Linked DNA regions of Mus musculus. The protein of the gene in region 1 purifies or fractionates together with the protein of each later gene. This does not show direct contact. Links are inferred from orthologs where the notes say so. Each region holds a gene or a part of one and is shown in the gene's direction. Other genes may lie near its edges.

What was found. The genes of interacting proteins can lie anywhere in the genome.
Region 2: the proteins of Vps72 (region 1) and Actl6a purify together in Homo sapiens (affinity purification with mass spectrometry; 3 studies listed by BioGRID and IntAct, with this or other methods). This does not show direct contact. The link is inferred for Mus musculus from reciprocal best matches to the Homo sapiens genes VPS72 and ACTL6A.

What each region holds. Positions count from the first base shown.
Region 1 is NC_000069.6:95,109,593-95,114,563, forward strand, and holds the start of Vps72 (vacuolar protein sorting-associated protein 72 homolog), read left to right. Parts: upstream 1-1,449; 5' UTR 1,450-1,505; coding exon 1,506-1,622; intron 1,623-4,971. UniProt on the Homo sapiens protein: Deposition-and-exchange histone chaperone specific for H2AZ1, specifically chaperones H2AZ1 and deposits it into nucleosomes.
Region 2 is NC_000069.6:32,721,265-32,725,778, forward strand, and holds part of Actl6a (actin-like protein 6A), read left to right. Parts: intron 1-1,355; coding exon 1,356-1,451; intron 1,452-3,982; coding exon 3,983-4,069; intron 4,070-4,514.

The sequences.
Region 1 (4,971 bases):
GCTTTATCAAAGCACCTTTTGGGGATAGGGGTGTAGTTCAGAATTAGAGAACTTACCTATCTTATACACTACTCTGAATTTAATCCTTGGCATTAGAAAAAAAAAACAGAAACAAAAATAAAACCAAAAAACAGTAAAAGAATGAATACCTTCTTCATTTAGTCTTTCATTGTTTACCTAAACCTAGCCTATTGCAGGCATTCACATTCGTAGTATAGACAGATACAATCCTTGGCCTCACTTGGGATGTACCTTTGTAGTAGAATGCTTTTCTAGAGTTCCTGAGACCTTGGGTTCCATTCCCAGCAAAGAGGGGGAAACACACACACACACACACACACACACACTCCAAAACAAAAACAAAAACAAACTCTTCCCTTAACCTAGTAGCATGAAACACGGAGAAGACCATAGCAGACCAGTCTATGAGACTGGCAAGCTTGGAGTACATAGAGAACCAGTCTCCAAAACCAAAACTCAGCAGATAGAGGAGCCTGCCATCAAGCCTGGTGACCTGACTTTGACCCCAGATTCCACACAGTAAACGTGGAGAGCCAGTTCCTGCACATTTGTCTTCTGACCTCCACACCAGTGCAGTGGTACATGCTCACACACATGAACACAAACACATAGTTAAAAAAAAAAGTCATACAATTTTTAAAAAGATTTATTTATTTATTTTATGTATATGAGTACACTGTAGCTGTCTTCAGAAACACCAGAAGAGGACATCAGATCCCATTACAGATGGTTGTGAGCCACCATGTGGTTGCTGGAAATTGAATTCACTCAGGATCTCTGAAAGAGCTGTCGGTGCCCTCTCCCAGTGTGTCTGAAGACAACAATAGTGTACTCATATTAAATAAATAAATAAGTACATACATACATACATACTTTTTTTTTTTGAGACAGCTTTTCTCTGTATAGCCCTGGCCGTCCTGGAACTCACTCTGTAGACCAGGCTGGCCTTGAGCTCAGAAATCCACCTGCCTCTGCCTCCCAAGAGCTGGGATTAAAGGCGTGCGCCACCACTGCCTAGCATAAATAAATCTTAAAAAAAAAAAAAAAGTAGGAGCGGAGAAGGGAAAGGAGTTTGCTATGAGGCAGGCCTACTTGGCGCACACCTTTAATTCCATCACCGGGAGGCAGAGGCAGGAAGATCTCTGAGTTCGAGGGCAGCTTGCTTTACACAGGTAGCTCCAGGCCAGCCAGGACTGTAAAGTGTGATCCTGTCTGTAGAAAAACAAACAAAATATCTAGGTAAGGAGGAGGAACCCTGGTACTGTGCCCTAGGCGCTGCCTATGAGTGGCCACAGCAGCCACCAGCCACAAAGAGACTTAAGGTGAAAATAACTAGGACCTCTCGACGCTCGGCTGCTTTTGCTTGCAGACGCTGAACTTCCGTCATTGACGGTCGCCCGCAGGTAATAGTGTCGAGTGCCGATCTGCGAGAACCCCGAGCTGGGCCAGGGGCTGAAGGCGGCAGCGCAGTCGCTGTAGGCGGTATGAGTTTGGCTGGGGGCCGGGCCCCACGGAAAACCGCTGGGAACCGGCTTTCTGGGCTCCTGGAAGCAGAGGAGGAAGATGAGTTCTACCAGACAACTTACGGGGGTTTCACCGAGGCAAGAGCCGGGCCCAGGAAGAGGGAAAGAGAGAGGCGAGGAGAAGGGAAAACCCTGGACAAAGAGGAAGGGGGCGGGGATTGAGAAAGGCTCGGAAAGGCGCTCCGGGCTGGACGGCGGAGTGGAGGGGACTTTGTGTGTGTGTGCGCGCGCGTGTGTATGTGCCTCTGTGTGCGTGTGTGTGTGCGCGCATGTGTGTTTGTGTCTGTGTCTTTGTCGGCTTTGCAATTTTCTTCGGAGTGTGTGTGTGTGTGTGTGTGTGTGTGTGTGTGTGTTTATCGGCTTTACAATTTTCTTGTACGCTCCTGGCTGGATGGCGGAGTCTGGAGGAGTGTGTGTGCGTATCAGTGTCTGTGTCTTTGTCGGCTTTGAAGTTTTCTCGTCCCGCTGCCGAGTTATTTACCAAAAGGAACCTGTCCAGAAACAAACTTAATTAGCACACTCTCCGCCGGGCGTGGTGGCGCACGCCTTTAATCCCAGCACTCGGGAGGCAGAGGCAGGCGGATTTCTGAGTTCGAGGCCAGCCTGGTCTACAAAGTGAGTTCCAGGACAGCCAGGGCTATACAGAGAAACCCTGTCTCGAAAAACCAAAAAAAAAAAAAACCAAAAAAAAAAAAAAAAAAACAAAAAAGTTAGCACACTCTCGTTTTCAGCTTTCAAATCATAGCTTACTGTTTTCTTAGGTGACCCTTTATCGACTAAGAGAATCCCCATTTATTTCCATCATAGAAACAAAATTTCAGTTTACAGTTAGATTTGGTTTATGTCTCATTTTCTGGTTGGTTTTAAGGTCTGTAACAGAATTCGGTCTTTTTTTTACAAACAAGGCTGACATTTGGCTAAATTTTTGTTAATAGAAGCTGTTCAGTGATTGAATATATGTTGTACAACCAGATCAGCATACTATATGTAATTAAATGGTTGTGGTGGATTCCTTGGAAACATTAAAAACTTCCCTGAGGATGGAAATATAGTTTGTAGCTCAGTAGTATATCACTAGCCTAGAAAATGAGTCCTAGATCCTGGATTACTGGCCCCTGGCAGTAAATAAAAACAAGCCCTACCTTGCAGGGCAACTGTCTGGGATCCTAGTCAGCTTAGATACTGTACGATAAAGACTTAAGTTCAAGATAACAGGTGAGAGGTTTGTGTTTTGTTTTTTAAATTGTATTATGTTTGTGTGTCTGCATATGGAGACCAGAGGCAACTTGTAGGAGTTCAGTCTCTCTTTTCATCATAGGAGCCCAAGGAAGCAAACTCAGGTGGTCAGGGTTATACAGCAAGCTCCTTTGCCCACAGAGCCACCCTGAAGGTCCCAGAGTTGTTAAAGACAGGCAGTGCTGGGGAAATAACATTTAAAATGAGGACATTTATAAAGAGCAGACCTTGGCTGGCTGAAGAGTCAGGGAGGAAAAGGAGGGCTCAGTTGGAAAGGCACTGAGGTCCTGGTGTGAAACCTATAGATATGGTTTTGTAGATTGCTATGGAGGATATAGGCCTGAGCTGGATTTGGTTTTGTTCTATGAGATAGGGTTTCTCTACATAGCTCTGACTGTCTTGAAACTCACTTGGAACTAGGTCAGTCTGGCCTCACAGAGGTCAACTTGCTTTAGGCCACCACGCTCAGCTTCTTTGCCTCCCAAGGGACTCTACTCCTGGCCTTATATAGATTTTGTTTGTTCACTTGCTTTTATTTTTAATTTATTTTTTATATTTTAGATTTGTTTATTTTTTATGTATGTTGTTGTTGGCTGCATGTCTGTCTGTGTGAGGGTGCCAGAGCCTCTGGGTCTAGAGTTACAAACACTGGTGAGCTGCCATGTGGGTGCTGGGATTTTGAACCAGTCCTCTGGAAGAATAGACAGTGTTCTTATCCATTGAGCAGTCTGGCCAGCCCTCCTTATACAGTTTTTATTTATTTTTTTGTTTGTTTGTTTTGTTTTTTTGTTTTGATTTTTTTCGAGACAGGGTTTCTCTGTGTAGCCCTGGCTGTCCTGGAACTCACTCTGTAGACCAGGATGGCCTCGAACTCAGAAATCCGCCTGCCTCTGCCTCCCAAGTGCTGGGATTAAAGGTGTGCGCCACCACTGCCCAGTTACATATAGTCTCAAAGCCTAGGTAGCCCTTCTGCCTCACACTCCTGAGTCCTGGAACTGTAGGTATTTGTCACCACCCTTGTATTCCCCCTTTCACCTCCCAGTCAGATTTTGTAAGCCATAGTGAAGCAATAGTAAGCAGTTTGACTTCTCATTTAAAGGTCTGAAATGAGGCATCAAAGTTCCATCATTAACTTTTTGGTTAAAAAGATTTCTCTAGTGCTGGTAGTCTTGGGGAGGTAGCACAGGAAGATGATCTCTGGTTCCAGGCCATCTTGACTGTGTTTCCAGTTCCATCTTGACTCAGCCTTACAGACAAACAAACCCTAATGAGTAAAGCCTAAAGAGGGCAAGGGCAGAAAAGAAATACGGACAAGGGCTGGACTGGGGAGGACACTGCTATTCCGGGGTAATTTGCTTAGCTTAGCTGGAGGTTCCAGCTCCCAGCACTACGGAATGGAGGTGGGTATGGGACAGTGTTAAGTAGGGTTGAAGGGAAGTTTTTGAAAAAGAGTGGACAGGACTTTATGACTAACTGGGAGCCACTATGTACACAGCTTTAATAAACTAGTTTAAAATAGATCTCTCTCATCCTTCCTCCAAGGTTCATTTCCTATTCCTGTCGTTTTATGAGTCGCTATTTAATACATGCACCTCATGCTTCCAGAAAGGATATATAAAAAGGCTTACAATGGAAACAAAAATTAGGAATAGTAAAAGTAGAAAAGGTGCCGAACAAAATGTATTTTATTAATGTGTGAAATTTTTAAATAATGAGTAAAATTATGTACATATTTTTAAATCAGAAGTAATTTTGCCGAGAATCCATGTTAAAATGGAAATAGCATTTGATGGCTGTGAGTTTCCTAGCAGTCAAACTAAATTTGTTATGACTGAAGTATACAGTATATTCAAGAAAGACAAATTGGGCTGGAGAGATGGCTCAAAGTTAAAAGAGTACTGACTGTTCTTCCAGAGATCCTGAGTTCAATTCCCAGAAACCACATGGTGACTCCTCATAATCATCTGTAATGGGATCTGATGCCCTCTTTGGGTATGTCTGAAGACAGCTACAGTGTACTCATATAAATAAATCTTTTTTTTTTTTAAGGATTTAAAAAAAAAAGTCAAATTTATTTAGCATTAAATTCCAGGGAGAATTTCTTATTATATGAGGTACAACTAAAGTAATCAGGGGCTTGATAGAGAACATTCTCTTGCTGTGTATTAAAGGACCCAGTGCTATAACAGTA
Region 2 (4,514 bases), about 62 Mb from region 1:
TGGATTCCAGAGATCACACTCGTGTGCAGATGTGCACAGTGAGCACCTGTAGCCCACTGAGCTGATTTTCTGCTCTAAGTGTTGGTGTTTTCTTATGCAAGGTCACTTAAAGGCAGAGAATTAAATACATTTGTAAGAGTGGAGCTTGATATTGAGGTCCTTTTCTGTTTATTTAACGTTAGCAGATGGGACCCAAGTTTTGCATTTTCTAGTCCAAAATTTTGACAACTTATATGCTTGGAGTAGGTTTTTTTTTGTTTTTGTTTTTTTTTAAGTTTTTTGAGACAGGGTTTCTCTGTATAGCCCTGGCTGTCCTGAATCTCACTTTGTAGACCAGGCTGGCCTCGAACTCAGAAATCCACCTGCCTCTGCCTCCCAAGTGCTGGGATTAAAGGTGTGCGCCACCACTGCATGGCTGGAATAGGTTTTAAAGCTAAGAACAGAGCCAGTTAAAAAGGCAGGCTGGCATTTACATTTGATAAATACATGCAAAGTAGAAGTAAATACATCCCTTCTGAGTAGGAAGTTGTTTTTATTTGGGAAGTTCAGCCTGTGCTCTAAAAAAGTTGCAACATTTCTACAAAAGAGAAAGCATTTTGGCCAGGAAACATTATCATTATCTGTCAGGATCAGAAAACAATTTTGTCTAATGTAAAATATCATGACTTTCAGATGAACAAAGATGAATAATATTATGAAATATACCTCTAATATTAGTAGCTGTTTGCCAATAAGAATTACAAATTTGGGGCTGGTGAGATGGCTCAGCAGTTAAGAGCACTGACTGCTCTTCCGAAGGTCCTGAGTTCAAATCCCAGAAACCACATGGTGGCTCACAACAACCATTTGTAATTAGATCTGATGTCCTCTTCTGGTGTGTCTGAAGGCAGCTACAGTATACTTAGATATAATAATAAATCTTTGTGTCAGAGCGAGTGGAGCCGACTGGAGCCAGCAGCAGTCCTAAATTCAATTCCCAGCAGCCACATGATAGCTCACAACCATCTGTACAGCTACAGTGTACTCATATACATAAAAAAAACTTTAAAAAAATTATGAGATTAATAATAATTGTTTTACATTAGTGGCTCTAGGCTGGCAAGATGACTCAGTGCATAAAGGTGGTTGCCGCCAAAGTCTGATAACCTGAATTTGATTCTCAGAATCCACATGTTGGAAAAAGAACTCCCAAAAGTGTCTTACTAATTTCCATATATAAGCTGTGGCTTGCTTGCTTACATACATACAAAATAAGTAAATGGAACAACAGGTTGGTAGCTGGATCCAATTCCCAGCACCTATCAATACTGTGGGATTGCTGGAAACACCTGGACATGATTCTGCTTCTCTCCTAGGGTCTCTACGGCAGTGTGATCGTAGCAGGAGGAAACACGCTAATACAGAGTTTCACTGACAGGTTAAATAGAGAGCTTTCTCAGAAAACTCCACCAGTAAGTTTTTCTGTTCTTTGTGTTATTTATTTGTGTCCATTCTCACCGAGTAGAATTTAATAGATAGTTGTGTGCCTTTATATTATGAGTAATATCTATTAATAATGTATTTGTCCTATGTAACACCTATTGGTTCCTCTTCTGTTACTTGAATTTCTTTTAAATGTTTGTGTGTGCTGTGTACATTAACCCATGTATGTCTCTCTGGAGGCCAGAGGTCAAATTCGGTGTCTTTTATCTCTCTCCACATTATTTTACATACACACACTCACATATAAGTGTGCACACATGAGCACACATACATATACACTCACAGGGCATATGGTGCTAATTTTCAAGGGAGAGGAGAATCTGGAGGGGTAATTTACATGGTGTATTAATAATACAAGGCATAATATGCTTACAGGGTATTAAGTGTTTCTGTAGAAACTGTCTTAGTTGCTGATGTTAAACAGAAGTGCTGTCTGGGTATTAATACGCTTGCATGATTGACATCTGCCGTCAGTATACTGCAGAGTTGGAGATGATAGTCTAGAGAGTGGTCCTCAATCTTCCTAATGCTGTAGTTCCTCATGTTGTGACCACCACACAATTATTCTCATTGCTAATTCATAACTATAATTTTTCTGGAGTTTTTTGGTGGGGGGAGGGTTCGAGACAGGGTTTCTCTGTAGCCCTGGCTGTCCTGGAACTCACTCTGTAGACCAGGCTGGCCTCGAACTCAGAAATCCGCCTGCCTCTGCCTCCCAAGTGCTGGGATTAAAGGCCTGTGCCACCACTGCCCGGCTCAATTTTTCTGTTATGATTTATAATGTAAATACCTGATATGAAAGCATCATTAACCCCCAAAGGAGTCAAGGAGGTTGAGAAGCACTGGTGTAGGAGAACCTGCAGTAGAAGTTCTGACGGTTGGATTTCATAGAAAGCCAACAAATACAACTGCAGGCATGAATGGCCCAAGGTCTGCTGAGGAGTGAACTAGGGGCTGGTGTTATGTAGCCTTCCCTGCATCAGCTATTCTTGCAGAGGACATGAGTTCCCAGAACCCACTTTGGGCTCCAGTGCCCTCTCTGGCCTCTTCAGGCACCTGCACTCATGTGTACATATACTCACACAGGCATATACATACATACACATAATTAAAATAATTAAATAAGCCCCCCTCTCCCCAAGAGTAATCTAGAAACCTTTGTCCTTAAGGGAGTAATTAAAACGAAAATTGTCAGAAGAAAAGTTCCATTCTGGAACAGACACCCATACTAGCACATTGCTGGTTCTGGGCTCTGACACCTCACACGCTAATGCACTATGAAGGTTGTCCACATTTGTGTTGTATAGAGTGCCTGTTTGGACACCTTGAAAATGATTCCTAGAGGCAGATTCATAAGGAGGAAAGGAAAAGACCCTAAAGAAAGTGAATTGAATACATCATTGACCCCCGGCCAGGTGATACAAACCTGTTATCCCAGCTACTGCAAGGCTGAGGCAGGAAGATCCCAAGTTTAAGGCTGGCCTGGGCGATATACTACGTTCAGAACAGAGGCACTAAGGTTTTAGTTTTTTGAGATGGGGCATATGTTGTTGTCCCATTGTAGACCAGGCTGATTTACTCAGCATTCTGCCCCCTTCAGCCCGGGTGCTGGGGTTGCAGACATGAGCGTGAATCAAGTCACTTGTGGTCTGGCATTTTGATTGGGAAGAGTTTCGGTAGCAGGATCTCTGGGGTAGGGTGGTGGGTGGGAGACTTCGAAGAAGAGGAATGAAGCACCTGGGGCCTTTGGAGGTGCATGAACTGTAAGGGCTGGCCTTGTCCTACGCAGGTTTTACAGTTTTGGTTTTGTTGCTTTGTTAATTTATGTTTAACAGGAAGAAATTATGTACATATATAAATCCTGTCTTACAACTCTAAATGAGATTACAGAGTAACAGTGTTCGTGATTAAAAGAACATCATAAAATATATTTAATAGAGCTGTTCAAGGGAGGAGACTGCAAGCTCTGTAATGTCTTTAGTGCTGCAGAATGAAAGCTCTCAGGGGAGTGTCATGTTGAGGAAATTGAACAAGTTTCCTGACAGCAAAAGTTAGAGCATGGGTTTCAGTATTTCCAGTCCAGTGTGTCTTCCTACCTGGTGTGGTGTTGCATGCTTGTGTTTGCCCAGTCTCTTGAGTCACATAGTTCATTTTCTTACCCGATATTCATTAAGACCTTTCCTGAAAAGTAGCCTAGCCTATGCCAACTATTAGCTTAGCCATTTGACACCATGTGAAACTAATTTGTTTTTCCGTGTGTGTAGAGACAGACAGGGTGAGTGGGTGTGAGTGTTGGATGCTGTTGTAGTCCTATTTGACCTCAAACTCACTATGTAGGCCATACTGGCCTGGAACTAAGAGATCTGCCTGTCTCTGTATCCCAAGTGCTAGGATTAAGTACATGTTCCACCATGCCTCTAGAGGTTTTTCAGCACTGAATTCCCAGGTTGGCGGTTGTGGCTATCCCAGTATCCTAACGCTTCTTCTTCATCTGTTGTAGAGTATGCGGTTGAAACTGATTGCAAACAACACGACGGTGGAGCGGAGGTTCAGCTCATGGATTGGTGGCTCTATCCTAGCATCTTTGGTTAGTAGTTAAGATTCCACTGACACAGTCTCTGGTTTGAGAGAGGAACTTTTGAGAATAAGATTGTGTGTAGCAGTTTATAAAGAACGTTTTATCATCTCACAGTGCACCATATTTTTCTCTGAACAATTACATCTTTTCTGGTTCTTTTTGTTGGGGCTCAAGAATTCTTTTAGTATTTATTCTATATTGATAAAAATCTGTCTTGGTACTACAAGTAACTCTCCCCAGTTTATACATATATTTTTCCCTAGAACACCACTCTGGGTTTTCTGGAAATGGTTTATTACAATTTTGAGTCATAAAAACTTTCAGTACAAGCAGAAATTTTAACTTAAAAGCAAGATTCTTATTTGGCTTAAATATTGCATTAAAAATACTATTTAGTAAAAATATTAAGAATGATTTCAGTGCTTCATTGATCTTTGCACTTAAAACTGACAGA